2 linked regions of the Arabidopsis thaliana genome follow. The protein of the gene in region 1 interacts with the protein of each later gene in a pairwise test. Each region holds a gene or a part of one and is shown on either strand. Other genes may lie near its edges.

The links.
Region 2: the proteins of PDV2 (region 1) and ARC5 interact in a protein complementation assay, tested with the Arabidopsis thaliana proteins (one study listed by BioGRID).

What each region holds. Positions count from the first base shown.
Region 1 is NC_003071.7:6,983,322-6,987,564, forward strand, and holds PDV2 (plastid division2), read right to left. Parts: upstream 2,300-4,243; 5' UTR 2,036-2,299; coding exon 1,754-2,035; exon of another isoform or gene 1,671-1,753; intron 1,596-1,670; exon of another isoform or gene 1,426-1,595; coding exon of another isoform or gene 1,393-1,425; coding exon 751-1,392; 3' UTR 525-750; downstream 1-524. Other genes in the region: HB1 (hemoglobin 1), read right to left, coding at 1-6, 89-201; ARI2 (RING/U-box superfamily protein), read right to left, coding at 4,046-4,203. UniProt on the Arabidopsis thaliana protein: Component of the plastid division machinery consisting in a binary fission accomplished by the simultaneous constriction of the FtsZ ring on the stromal side of the inner envelope membrane, and the ARC5/DRP5B ring on the cytosolic side of the outer envelope membrane.
Region 2 is NC_003074.8:6,849,841-6,857,542, forward strand, and holds ARC5 (P-loop containing nucleoside triphosphate hydrolases superfamily protein), read right to left. Parts: upstream 5,751-7,702; 5' UTR 5,550-5,750; coding exon 5,187-5,549; intron 5,026-5,186; coding exon 4,858-5,025; intron 4,763-4,857; coding exon 4,640-4,762; intron 4,564-4,639; coding exon 4,342-4,563; intron 4,266-4,341; coding exon 4,132-4,265; intron 4,041-4,131; coding exon 3,948-4,040; coding exon of another isoform or gene 3,933-3,947; intron 3,834-3,932; coding exon 3,770-3,833; intron 3,383-3,769; coding exon 3,334-3,382; coding exon of another isoform or gene 3,241-3,333; intron 3,051-3,240; coding exon 2,968-3,050; intron 2,735-2,967; coding exon 2,577-2,734; intron 2,433-2,576; coding exon 2,372-2,432; intron 2,061-2,371; coding exon 1,998-2,060; intron 1,911-1,997; coding exon 1,810-1,910; intron 1,706-1,809; coding exon 1,648-1,705; intron 1,542-1,647; coding exon 1,209-1,541; intron 1,113-1,208; coding exon 948-1,112; intron 847-947; coding exon 751-846; 3' UTR 518-750; downstream 1-517. Other genes in the region: AT3G19740 (P-loop containing nucleoside triphosphate hydrolases superfamily protein), read right to left, coding at 6,104-6,211, 6,314-6,385, 6,480-6,539, 6,624-6,762, 6,842-7,026, 7,152-7,235, 7,463-7,585, 7,687-7,702. UniProt on the Arabidopsis thaliana protein: Mechanochemical GTPase component of both plastid and peroxisome division machinery. Required for the last steps of plastid division specifically in mesophyll-cell, when the narrow isthmus breaks, facilitating the separation of the daughter plastids.

The sequences.
Region 1 (4,243 bases):
AAGATCCTACAGTTCAAAATAGTAGTTCATATCTCAGACTATATACATAAAAAGAAAATAGAGAGAGATCAATGGGATCATTACTTACTTGATGAAGAGTTTGAGACCTAATTCAGCTGAGTTTTTCTTCATGACACTCCAAGACTTCACTACAAGAGCCTCTTGCTCTTCTGTGAACACAATCTTTCCTTCACTCTCCATAATATTTCACAACCTCTAAATGATTTAAAGTATACAACTCTCTGTTTTGTAGATCTTACTCCAATTATGAAAAGTATCCTATATATAGGTTTTGATAAAAGACCCTTTTGTGTTACCGAAGAGACAGTTCTTGATAAGCAAGTTTAAGATAAAGTTGCTTGGTTAAAAAGTGAAACCATGTGCTCTGTACTGGTAATGGAACATAGTTTGTAATGGTAGGCTTGACCAATTATTAGTCAAAACACTAAAGAAAAGTCTTTTAGATCTCTTTATCTCATTAATTTACTTATTTATGTATTGGCCAACCACACCAAGTGGTATAAGTTGGGATACACTGAATCTATTGATCAAATTGGCAGAACAGAGATTATACTACTCAAATGAATCTCTCCCTCATCCAATTTATTTGCACAACTATGAACAAAACTTGTGAGAGTTATGTAGCACCATGTGGCTTTCATATCTAAGAGGTAAGAAAAGGTTGAAACTTTACACACTGAATGTCAGGCAATGAACATTACAGAGGAGGGTGTTTAATTTCTTTCAAACTCAACCGTATCCGTAAGTTACATCGCGTTTCGCTACAACAGAGTCAAATGGTATTTCGACTCTTTCCTTAACAAGGCACCGTGCTTCTCCATCTTCAATCACAAGAACTTTCCCTGGTGGACATTGGTTAGGTGTTCTCTTCCCTCTGGTAGCTCGGTGCGGGAGAAGTCCAAAAAGGTTCAAGGAAGCGCCTCTTTTCCTCATCTCTGGACCATATCCTGATGCAGACAATAGAGAGATAACACCGATGATTGGAAGCACGATCTTTGCGACAGAGCCTAAGAAGCGAATAACCCCATGACTCGAACCTCCAGATCCTCCGTTGGGACTTTTCGCCTCTGCCTCGTTCCTCACATGTCCTGAGCCGAACCCATTCGCATCCGATTTCTTCTTCGAAGGTAAGTGAGATAGGTAACCATTATTATTATCTAAACCAAGGGAGAGAGGAGGATGGACAGGATAAGGAGGAAGTAAAAGATCATTCTCATAATCAACTCTTTCACCAGCAAAAGTCGTAGTCTCACGTAACACTTCAAAATCTTTCCCTTTGTACTCCTTAAGCTTCTCAAGCAACATTTTCCTACTGTAATCAATCTCAGAGAGAGCCAGTTGCTTCTCATATTGTTGTCTTTGCCTTAGATTCTGTTCACCACAAACCAAAAACCATCCCCACATTAACCACCACCAAGACTTGAAGCAATTCAGACATTATAGACCAGACTTGAAGCAAAATTCAGACTCAGTTTCAGTTAAAACCAGAACCTAACACTTTCAATGTTCAATACTACACTAAAAGCCAGAAACTTGATGAGAAGCAGAGGAATTTTTTAGGGTTTGGTTCAAACCTGTAAAGAAGCAATTCAGACATTATAGACCAGACTTGAAGCAAATTCAGACTCAATTTCAGTTAAAACCAGAACCTAACACTTTCAATGTCCAATACTACACTAAAAGCCAGAAACTTGATGAGAAGCAGAGGAAATTTTTAGGGTTTGGTTCAAACCTGTAAAGAAGCAAGCTGAGACTCAAGAGCTTCAAGAGCATCACGAATACGCAAAAGCCGTTCAGCTTCTGCTTCATCTACATCCTCAGAGCTGATTGAGTCAAAATCCTTGTCTTGATTCCCAATAATCTCGCTTTTTCTTCCTTCTCCGGGAGAAAGATCCTCGTTTCCATCGCCGTTGTCGCTGACGGTGGTACTGGAGTTATCGATACAATCGCTGATCTTGAGTCTGAGCTCGGTGGCTCTGGCTAAAATTAACCCGATGCCTTCTTCGTCTTCCATCGCAGAGATTGAGGAAAAGAATTTGGGGGTGGAGAAATTAGGGTTAGGGTTTTTGTAAGGTAGTGGTGGTGGGGAAGAGAAGAGAGACAAGTAATTTGGAGTGTTTGGAGTGGATTTGTTTTGTGGTTGGCTTAACTCAGATTTTCAGATTTGTTTCTGCTGCTTTCCCGGTTTTAATCAACGGCCACAAAAAATCAACAAATTTTTATTGAATTTATTTAAATTTGGGGAAAAAATGAAAAAGAACCATAAGAAATTTGGAAGAGGCCAATTTTGGACTCTAACAAAGATGACAAATCTGACATATCATTCTACATAAATAAAATAAAAGAATCTGTGTACTAAAATATAGACTTCTATGTCAGAAAAAACGTAAATTTTAAGTTATTATTTTTTACCGTCTAGATTTATTATTTATTATAAATTATAAAAATTATCGTAGAATCGTTTTTGTAACAATTCTTTTTCTTTGAACTATGGTTAGCATTTTTTTGTTTGTCAACGCCGAAGTCAACTGATCGGTTTACCGGAATTGTATGTTCATAATATTAACCAGATGACGTCATATAGTTCATAAATATGGTCATGCAATACATGTACTTCGTGTAGCTCAAGATACAATATTATACTTGGTATATATGACAGCGTAATTCTCTATATTTCGTGTAGTTAGCCATCTTTTTTCCTTTTATAAAAGATAACAAAGTAATTGAAAATGAATATGTTTTTTCCTTTTTTGGCTCAACAACAATAATTATCATTAAACAACAGAGTTTTACAACTTGTCTAATTCCACAAACGATTTTACCCAATTTGGCACTATAGAATACAACTTAGGATCATAATTCTCAAGAGAAAGAGATTCCTTTGCTATCCTATCTGCCACTCCATTGCCTCCACGATGCATGAACACAAACTTTGTTTCCTCAAAATGCTGAAGCAAGAACTTGATGTCTTGTATAATAGGGTCCAGAGTAGGCATATCATCGTTATCAACAAGAATAGACACCAATTGTTGGGAATCAGATTCAAAGATTACCTTTCGGTAGTTGAGTCGAGAGAGTGACAACACCGCCCAACGCAACGCTTCAGCCTCAGTAACCAAGGCGGATTGAGCCTTTGGTATAGCCCTTGCACCCATCCAAAGCACGTTCTTGTCGGAGTTTCTAAGCACCCAGCAAATGCCACACTTGTTGCATTCTGCATTCCAAACTCCATCTGAGTTACACTTAACCCACCCATGTGGGAGTTGCTTCCACTTGATCACTTGCTTCTCAGAGCTCTCTATGAGAAATGTATATGTTTAAAATGAATATGTCTGAAAATGAATATTTTTAAAATGTAGTTTGAGATGGTTTAAAAATATTAGTTAGAAATATTTTAATTTAAAATAAGACATTAAAAGAAGTATTCAAGTTAAATTACATTAAAATTATTAAATAACACTAAAAATACATTATATTGATGAGAGACACAAAAGTGAACCAAAAATAATAAAATTATATTAGTGAGAGATTCAATAGGTATCTCACCAAACAAAATTTTTTAGGGGATGCATTCAATAAAAAAATTACAACCAGAAAAAGTGAAAAACTAAGGTTAGCCAATTTTTCAGATTGCGGGACACTCTCTCACCGTCACAACAAAAACCTCATACCATCTCAAATATATAACGCATATGTACAAGAGATTCATATCCATGAATTAGGTACGATCCACCTACGTTTAGTTAAAAATTTACACCTCGAGGCACTGAGAGAAGCCTGAGTTCATAGGCAGCTTCAAATATGATCCACTATAAGTCTATAACCATTATCCTATGTAAACTCCGAAACTGATTGAAATTTTGTAAGTAACGATGCTTGACCCCTTCTTTCAGAACTGAAGAGGGTTAGGTAAGGTCACTGACAAATTAAGCAGAGGGGATTGGGTTTAGAGCTATAAATATCCGGGTAACACACTTTATTTGGACAAAAAGGGTGTTATTGGGAGGTGAAGAAGGATAAGTGTTCATTTCCGCTCAATGGCTTCCGCTGGCAAGTTTAAATCTAGTAAGGTGGTTTGGCTGTTTCTGTAACTTTCGTCTATTCTAGCACGCTTCCCGGAAGAGCAACTTGTGTCTTCCGACTTCCCTGACTCCAAAGCTTGATCGAGCCTGGACGTCCATCCTGTATTAAAGAGTTTGCTTTGTAAGATTACCGGTAAGTC
Region 2 (7,702 bases), on another chromosome or scaffold:
AAATAAGTTGTAGTTTCCTTCTTAATATTCAAGTTATATGACTAAAAATTGGTCGGTTAATTTACTATTAAGATTAATCGGAAACTCTAGTTAGATCACGAGATAATCATCACGTGGAGAAACATTTGGTTCTTGTCACGTGGAGAAAACGTTAAGCTTATTTTTTACTTCTTTATTATATTTTTGAGGAAATGGTTGAAAGAAAGAGAGTGTTTAAAATGTGAATGCGCTCGTAGTTAGGTGGAGGTTAATGGGTAGGAGGGTAGGTCATATGTGTATTAGTGATGGATAAAAATTAAAAACATAAAAAAAACTTCAAGCTGTAAATAATCTAATAAAAGAACATAGAAATATAATCAAAGAACCATTTAACTAAATAAATACTTTCGATTCAAATAGCATATTTCTAAGTTCCAAGAATAGCTATCCTCTATCCACATGTTACATTTTTTTTTTCTTTTTCACATCCATATAGTTTTTAAAATAATTTTCTAGATGGTATTTTTTATTCGACATTTTTTTTTCCTTTTAGATTTACTGATTATAATTTATTTAGAAATAAATGATACGACTGTCGTTTCTACAAAACTGAAATTTGCAAACATTGGACCAAAAAGCGAAACCTTAATCACTTGAAACGACAACGTTCTTTAGTATGTTTTTGGACATACAAAGTACACATAAGATGTTCCCTCACTCTTCGATTGTTTCTTAACCTAATATAATTAAGCAATATTGAACTTGAGTCACTCAATGCTGCACCGAAGGAGCCTTTAGATTTTGAGCAAATTCATGAGAGTTTAGCTTCTCATTCATCACTCTGAATTTCTCTTTTATCCTCTTTATCTGTCCAAAACATGACACATAACATAATGTTAGTTCTCCTGCATACTTCCAATGGCAAATAGAAAAAAGAGACATTGATCATAGAAGTCAGTTTGGTTTACCCTTCTGAGCTCGATCTCTGTGCTCCGTTTCTTTTGATCAAGTGATTGCCGGAGATTCGTGATGTCGAAGATACTATCGAGGTCGTCTTCAAATGCGTTTTCCAACTCTTCCCGGAGAAGAGCAGGTAACTTATCAACGATGGGCATTAGAAGAAAACAGTTGAACTGCAGAACAAAAGAAAACACAGATACAAACTTTTTAAAAGAAAAGTCATTTTAAAAGCAAGAAGAATCTGAGTAAAAACTGAAGTAGGAGCAAACCTTTAACTCAGCAGAGGCGAGAAAGTACTCTCGTATGCCCTGGAATATCTGTTGGACCAATGCGTACACAATTCTCTCAGAGGAAGGAGCAAGCTTGCGGTTCCAAAGTGTGCTATCTAGAAGATCAGCCAACCGCATTTCTGTTGTCTGAATACTGGAACCTGAATCGATGTTTGAGGCGAGATGGCTTAGCTTTACATCTGATCTTGACTTGGTGTCTGTTGTGCCACCTAATGCATCTTGGGGAAGACTAAATCCTATGGCATTACCTGATGTCGTATTATGCTCTGTTCCACCAAATGAGTCCAAGAATTGACGTAGACCAGCTCGGTTCTACATAACATTGAGAAACGAAAACTACTCAATCAGAAACGGATACTTGATGGTATGTACACAACTCAATTGGATTGAAACAGAGCTATAGGGCTGTAGCAATGACCTTGTTGTGAAGAGACCATGTAACATAGCGAGTTGTACTTGCTAAATCCTCCATACATCTGCAAACAATATAAAATCCAAAGGGTGATCAATCACTAAAGCTCACTAGAACACAGGTAGGAGGCACCGACATGGTAAGAACAGGAATTGGAAATAGAATTACTTGTCACGACATGATTTTTCTGTGGACTCCACAAAACTGTTGAATGCTGAAGCAACCCGCTTGAGAAACACCTCATGCCCACTTAAATATTCACCTTCTTTCTATTCAAATTTAGAACATACATCAAAAAATTTGCTGGAAAGGGATCATGAGTATGATACCGTCAAACCAAAGAAAACAGTACCTACCTGAAGAAGATATACAGAAATTGGAAGCAATCTCTTGAGAATGTGTAGAAGCCTCGCCCCTAACTATATCAACGCAAAACAAACGAAAATGAGAACTGGAAAAAACTTTCTGTATGGAAAGAGAAACATGTGAATAACAAAATTTCAGATGAAAGTATTCCCAAACATAGTTTCTGTAAGCAGAACATGTTTACTCGATAACTCTTATGCACAAATAAGTTCCAGCAAATCTCAAAACTGAATGGTAGTATGATTTCAATATATAACGTTATATTTCATTTTTTTTTTTACGTACAGTACACCTTAACTAATTAGTAAAATTGCTTTCCATCCTCCACGAAAGAAAAAGAAAAAAGTAGCTATATCTATGTCACCTGATGAAGGAAAGGTTCAAACGTCTCACGAGCCTTCGCAACTGCTATAACACAAGCTGTTCTACAACAGCAAATAAGAGAAAGAGAATAAGAGGCCATAGAAAACATGACAAACGTTGCAGCTCAGATTAGATACTGAAAGGGGTCTGGGATGCAAAGACAATAAATTGAGAAGTGTGTTGCATGTCAGTCAATCCTATGATACCTGGAATAGTTTGTTCCATCATGAATATCCTCAACTCCACATGCATTTACAATTTCCTCCCTCGTTATTGGGGGACATTTGATAGCACCAACTAGAAAACGAAACTCAGCCATGGCACGGTGATATTGTGCACCCCCATAGAGACGCATCCCTGCATTCTGTAAAATGAAAGATAATCTGGTTATGGTCTCTCATAATTCTTGAAGGTCCAACGAAGTATCTCTTTTATTTGTTTCCAATACATTATTCTTTGGCACATATGTTTCATGCGGTCAAATTTATCTTCCATCATATTATAATCCATGTACAAGAACAAGACAACTGGATTTGAAGACCATGCCCAGCTTGCTCTATAAAGTCCAACAATATTCTGCTTCAGGGAAAGACTTACCGGTATTAGCTTATGTGAAAACTGGAGACCATCAGTACCAACAAATGCTCCTCCTTGTGTCCTTTCATCTTGCAGTGTCTCACCTGAAAAACACCATGAGAAATTATTAACAATCAAAGAACCCAACATAAAGAGAATGCTGTTATAAAATGTGCTTCTGCCAGTAACCAAAGTATCATGACCAATGATTGATTGATTAGCATACATCATTCCATGTGTAATCATCGCAGTCTGGTGACCCAGTCGAATTGAACAATATGCATTTAACTAAACTGATTTTGCAAAAGTCCAATTTAACAACACCCAGAAACAAGAAAAGTTTATGCCAAAGAAGTTGACTAGCAGAGAACAGAGCAGTAACATTACCAAATTTATCTGGAGGGGCCACAACTGTTCCCTTCAATAACAGCGATAACTGATCAAGAAAAATATAAACAAAACAGGTGAGAAAACACAGCACTGATCAATACTAACAAAGGTACTTCGTACGTCAATCAGAAAATATGACGCAGCAATTTTAAAGTCTTAAGGGCATCCAACACAAAAAGTTTACAGCCATTCTGAATTTGTAGCAAGTCCTAGATATCATTTACTGTAGCATAATTTTATATGTGTCAGTAATCAATAAACAAATTTGTTTTTATGTGTCAGTAGTTAATAAACCAAAAAAAAAGAGAAGTTTACACAAATGAACTTGTTGTAATTATACAAAAACTATTAATCCACGAGTCCAGGCAAAAATGAAAAGGTATGGGAAGGTGTAAATAGAAATCTAAAAAAACGAAATGCTCTCTACAGTTACCTTGGTTAAGAAGAGATCATGGAAAGTCCTGCCTCTCTCTTTGAGTTTTGCTTCATCCAAAGAGCTGCATTGAAAGGAATTATTCAACCTCCAATGAGTTATATTTTCTATAAATCAGTAGCTAACAATTAAACTGCCTAAAATCAAGTAGACATTTTCAGACAAAACAAATTGCGACCTAAGTTCCTTGCTCACGGTATCCAGCTTTCTGACTGTACTGCGGTACTCCTTTCCTAACAGTGGAATGATCAATGGAACACTCTCTTTGTACCTGGAAAGAGAAGGGCATCAAGACTACAGCGAAAAGTAAACTACAATAGAAACAGAGGCTGGAAAAATCAGAGTTAAAACAACAGTTATACCTTTTCCAGAGTAGTTCTTCCAGAAACAACCTCAGTTTACTGATGCCAATCCTACTCTTTTCCTGTTTTGTCAGTAAACGGCCCAACTTCTTCTCTAAAGATGCAATGTCTTCCATTTCTCTAAGTGACACAGCCTGTAATAAAAACCACACATAGTTTAGAAAAAGACCTGTTTAACTTGTTTAAGGAATCAGACAGCAGAGCAGAGACCTGTTTGAACTCGTCATTAGACTTATACACTGAATCCTGTCCATAGCCAACTCTTCCAGAAGGCACAGACGTGAAAAAAGGAGAATCGCCCAATAAGGAGCTGTCAAGTGCGCTTGCAGGAGGTGAGAGAAAGACTTCCACGTCAGATGAACATGAGAATTGAGGGATTTTAGTGTCAAGCTTTGTAGAAACAACAATTGTCCTAGAAAGCTCAGGATCAACCTACATGAACGAGAAACAAACTTTAACAAAAATAAAGACAAGGTTAGACGCAATGGAGTTACGTCAAGCAACGTACTTGCATCACTATCCTTCGAGTGGTTGCAATGCTCCAGTCACTGCTATCTTCGAGGCATAAAATGATGAACTCTTTGTGTTGCATCTTTGCTCGGACTAGAGCTTCCACAGCCCGTGCTTGAACCTAAGAAAAAGAACAAGTAACCCACTCTCAAATAAAGCAAAACCAAAACATGAAATCAGCCACGGAATTGGCTGGAAGCCATAAGAAAAAACAACCTGAAGAGCTCGGTTTTTCAGTCCTGGTGCAGGAGCAATAAGTCCAGGTGTATCAATGATGGTAAGGTTTGGACAATACTTATACTGGACTTTCACAATAATCTCCTTTGCAGAGAATGGGCTACATGGCTCTTGCTCCAGCCTCATGTTCTCAGCCTCAATATATGCCTAACTCCAAATCATATAACAAATTTCGTTAACATGAGCATTTCGCTTCTCTACAATAAACCTAAGTACTTGTGTTTCTCAACATTCGTCAAAATCTTCCCAGAATTTATACGCAGAAACAAGCAATTGAAGAAGCACAAGTAATAATAATAACAAAACACCTGAATTTGTGAGAGAGATTTGGGAAGAGAAACGGAAGGATCATCATCAGATCCGAGATGACAAAGCGGGAATTGACACTGAGGATCGTACTTCATATGGAGAGTAATCGGCCGACGAGTCTTGGTTCCGCCGCCGACATGGTTAAATTGAAACCCCATAAGAGCTTCCACAAGCGCACTTTTACCGTCGGTCTGCTGTCCCACCACAAGAACCGCCGGTGCTTCGAACGGCGTCTCCAATTCCTGCGCCAAAGCGTGTAACTCGTTGTAAGCTTCGTAAAGACTCCACCGCTCCTCAATCGCAGCGTCGTCCTCTTCCGCCATTTCCTCAACCGTCACCGATTTTGCTGATACTTCCGCCATCGTCTCTTACGAAAATGAGCAAGAGGAAGAGTAAGAGTAAGAGAGTGTCTCTTATTTCTTCTACTCTTTAGTTTTCGTCGCCGTTCCTTTTTCCGCCATGGAATTAGCAGATACGGCTAATTTCAATTTTTGTCAAAAGAAATATTTTTTGTGTTTTAATCTCACGCGCATCCATGGCGCGTTGAGTCAACGTTGTAATAGTTCTCCGCTAAATTTAAATAAAAGAGCGCGTAAGGAGAGAGTTTAAGGATTTTTTTTTTTTGGTCGGCAAATACAAAGGATTTGCTTTGTCTTGACCAATAGTATATGCAGAAATATTATCTCAAAGGATTTGTGATAACTATGTAGTACAGAATTGTGATTATTGGATGAGAAACCAGAAATATTTTGAGCAAATGACGACTTGTTAATTTACTATTTTTTCATTTCTTAAAGGTCTCTCTTGTGTAACTATGATTAAAATTGAAATAGTGACTTTTATTGTTACGACATGGAACAAATCAACGAGTTCTATTGTTAAAGAGAGACATTGATGAATGTAACAAAACTGTGGCTTAGAAGCCGAAAGGAGACTTAGTTCGGGTCCCTCCTTCACCGTATTGCTCGTTCCATTTTCTCAATTCGTTCATTGTCGTCGCGTCGTATGCCACTGACGGACTTACCTGCAAATTACATTACAATGACGCAATTTCGATAATGCAAACACCAGGGGAAAAAACATGAATAGAGATGATGATGATGTTTTTTAAGAGATTGATCAATACCTTAGCTTTGGATTGAATGAAGTCGTCCAAACTCAGTGGTCGTAGATCAGGGGACGCATTTGTTACCGAGTCCTGATAATTCGACGTTTCAAAAGCATGGAGTGAGTACAAAAATTATTTTTCGTAACAACAGAAATCAACTGTGTGGGTTTATGCATGTCCTTACCTTGTTTTCTTCTTGTAACAATTCTTGAACAGGTCTGTATGCAGCTGCTATGCATAGATTCTGCAATGTAAGAAAAGAAAAGGAATCAGAACTACTGTGTTGAATCATACTCGAACTTGTAAATGAAACCCCGAATGACCAAACCTTTAGATCGCTTCCTGAATATCCTTCGGTTTCCTTTGCAAGTTTATCAAACTCGAAACCAGTTTCAAGATTTTCTGGTGTCAGAAATATCTTCAATATCTTCAACCGGTTTTCCGCATCTGGTAAATCCACATATATCCTATAAACACAAGCCTCAATACAATTATCGAAAAGATACAAATATTCCAAAGGAGAAATTACTTGAAAGCTTAAATTACCGTCTTGGTAGCCTACGAATGACAGCGTCATCAAGATCAAAAGGTCGGTTGGTGGCACCGAGAATGAGAATCCTTTGGCTATCTTTTGATCTGAGTCCATCCCAAGCTGCCATAAACTCATTTCTCATTCTTCGTGTTGCCTCGTGCTCAAAAGCACCACCACGAGCACCCAACAAACTGTCAACCTATACGACAACAAAATAAATTACAGTTAGTCCTTGAGTAACACATTTTACGCATCACAAAAGTATTCCTCATAAAAAGCAATAACCGAAATTGAAAAGTGATATAAAGCTAAACAATTTCTCACCTCATCAACAAATATAATGACGGGGGCTAGTTTGCTTGCAAAAGAGAACAAAGCCTTCGTGAGCTTCTCTGCATCTCCAAACCACTGTGCCAAACAATGGACGAAATTGACTTAAATCAGAACCAATCAGAGGTAAAGTTGGAAAGAGATTTACTCTAAGTTACAATCGGCATTGACAATAATAAGTCGATGACCGGGGTGGAAAAGTTTTTCTTATGTCATTAGATATTCTCCTTATTTATATGAAGATGTTTACAAAGTGGAATATCAACGTGACAGTGCAAACAACATAGTTTTAAGGTTCCATGTACCTTTGAGGTAAGCGTTGAGCCAGTTATGCTAATGAAGTTTGCCCCAGCTTCTGTTGCAAGCGCCTTGGCAAGCAGCGTTTTACCCGTACCCGGAGGACCAAAAAGCAATATGCCTTTACATGGCTGGAAAAAACAAAGACACACGCATTCAAGAAAACCCAGACGAGAAAATTCCAAGTCCATAGTCAAGAACATAATGACATGTATATAACAGAATGTAATACCCGCAAGAGATTTCCA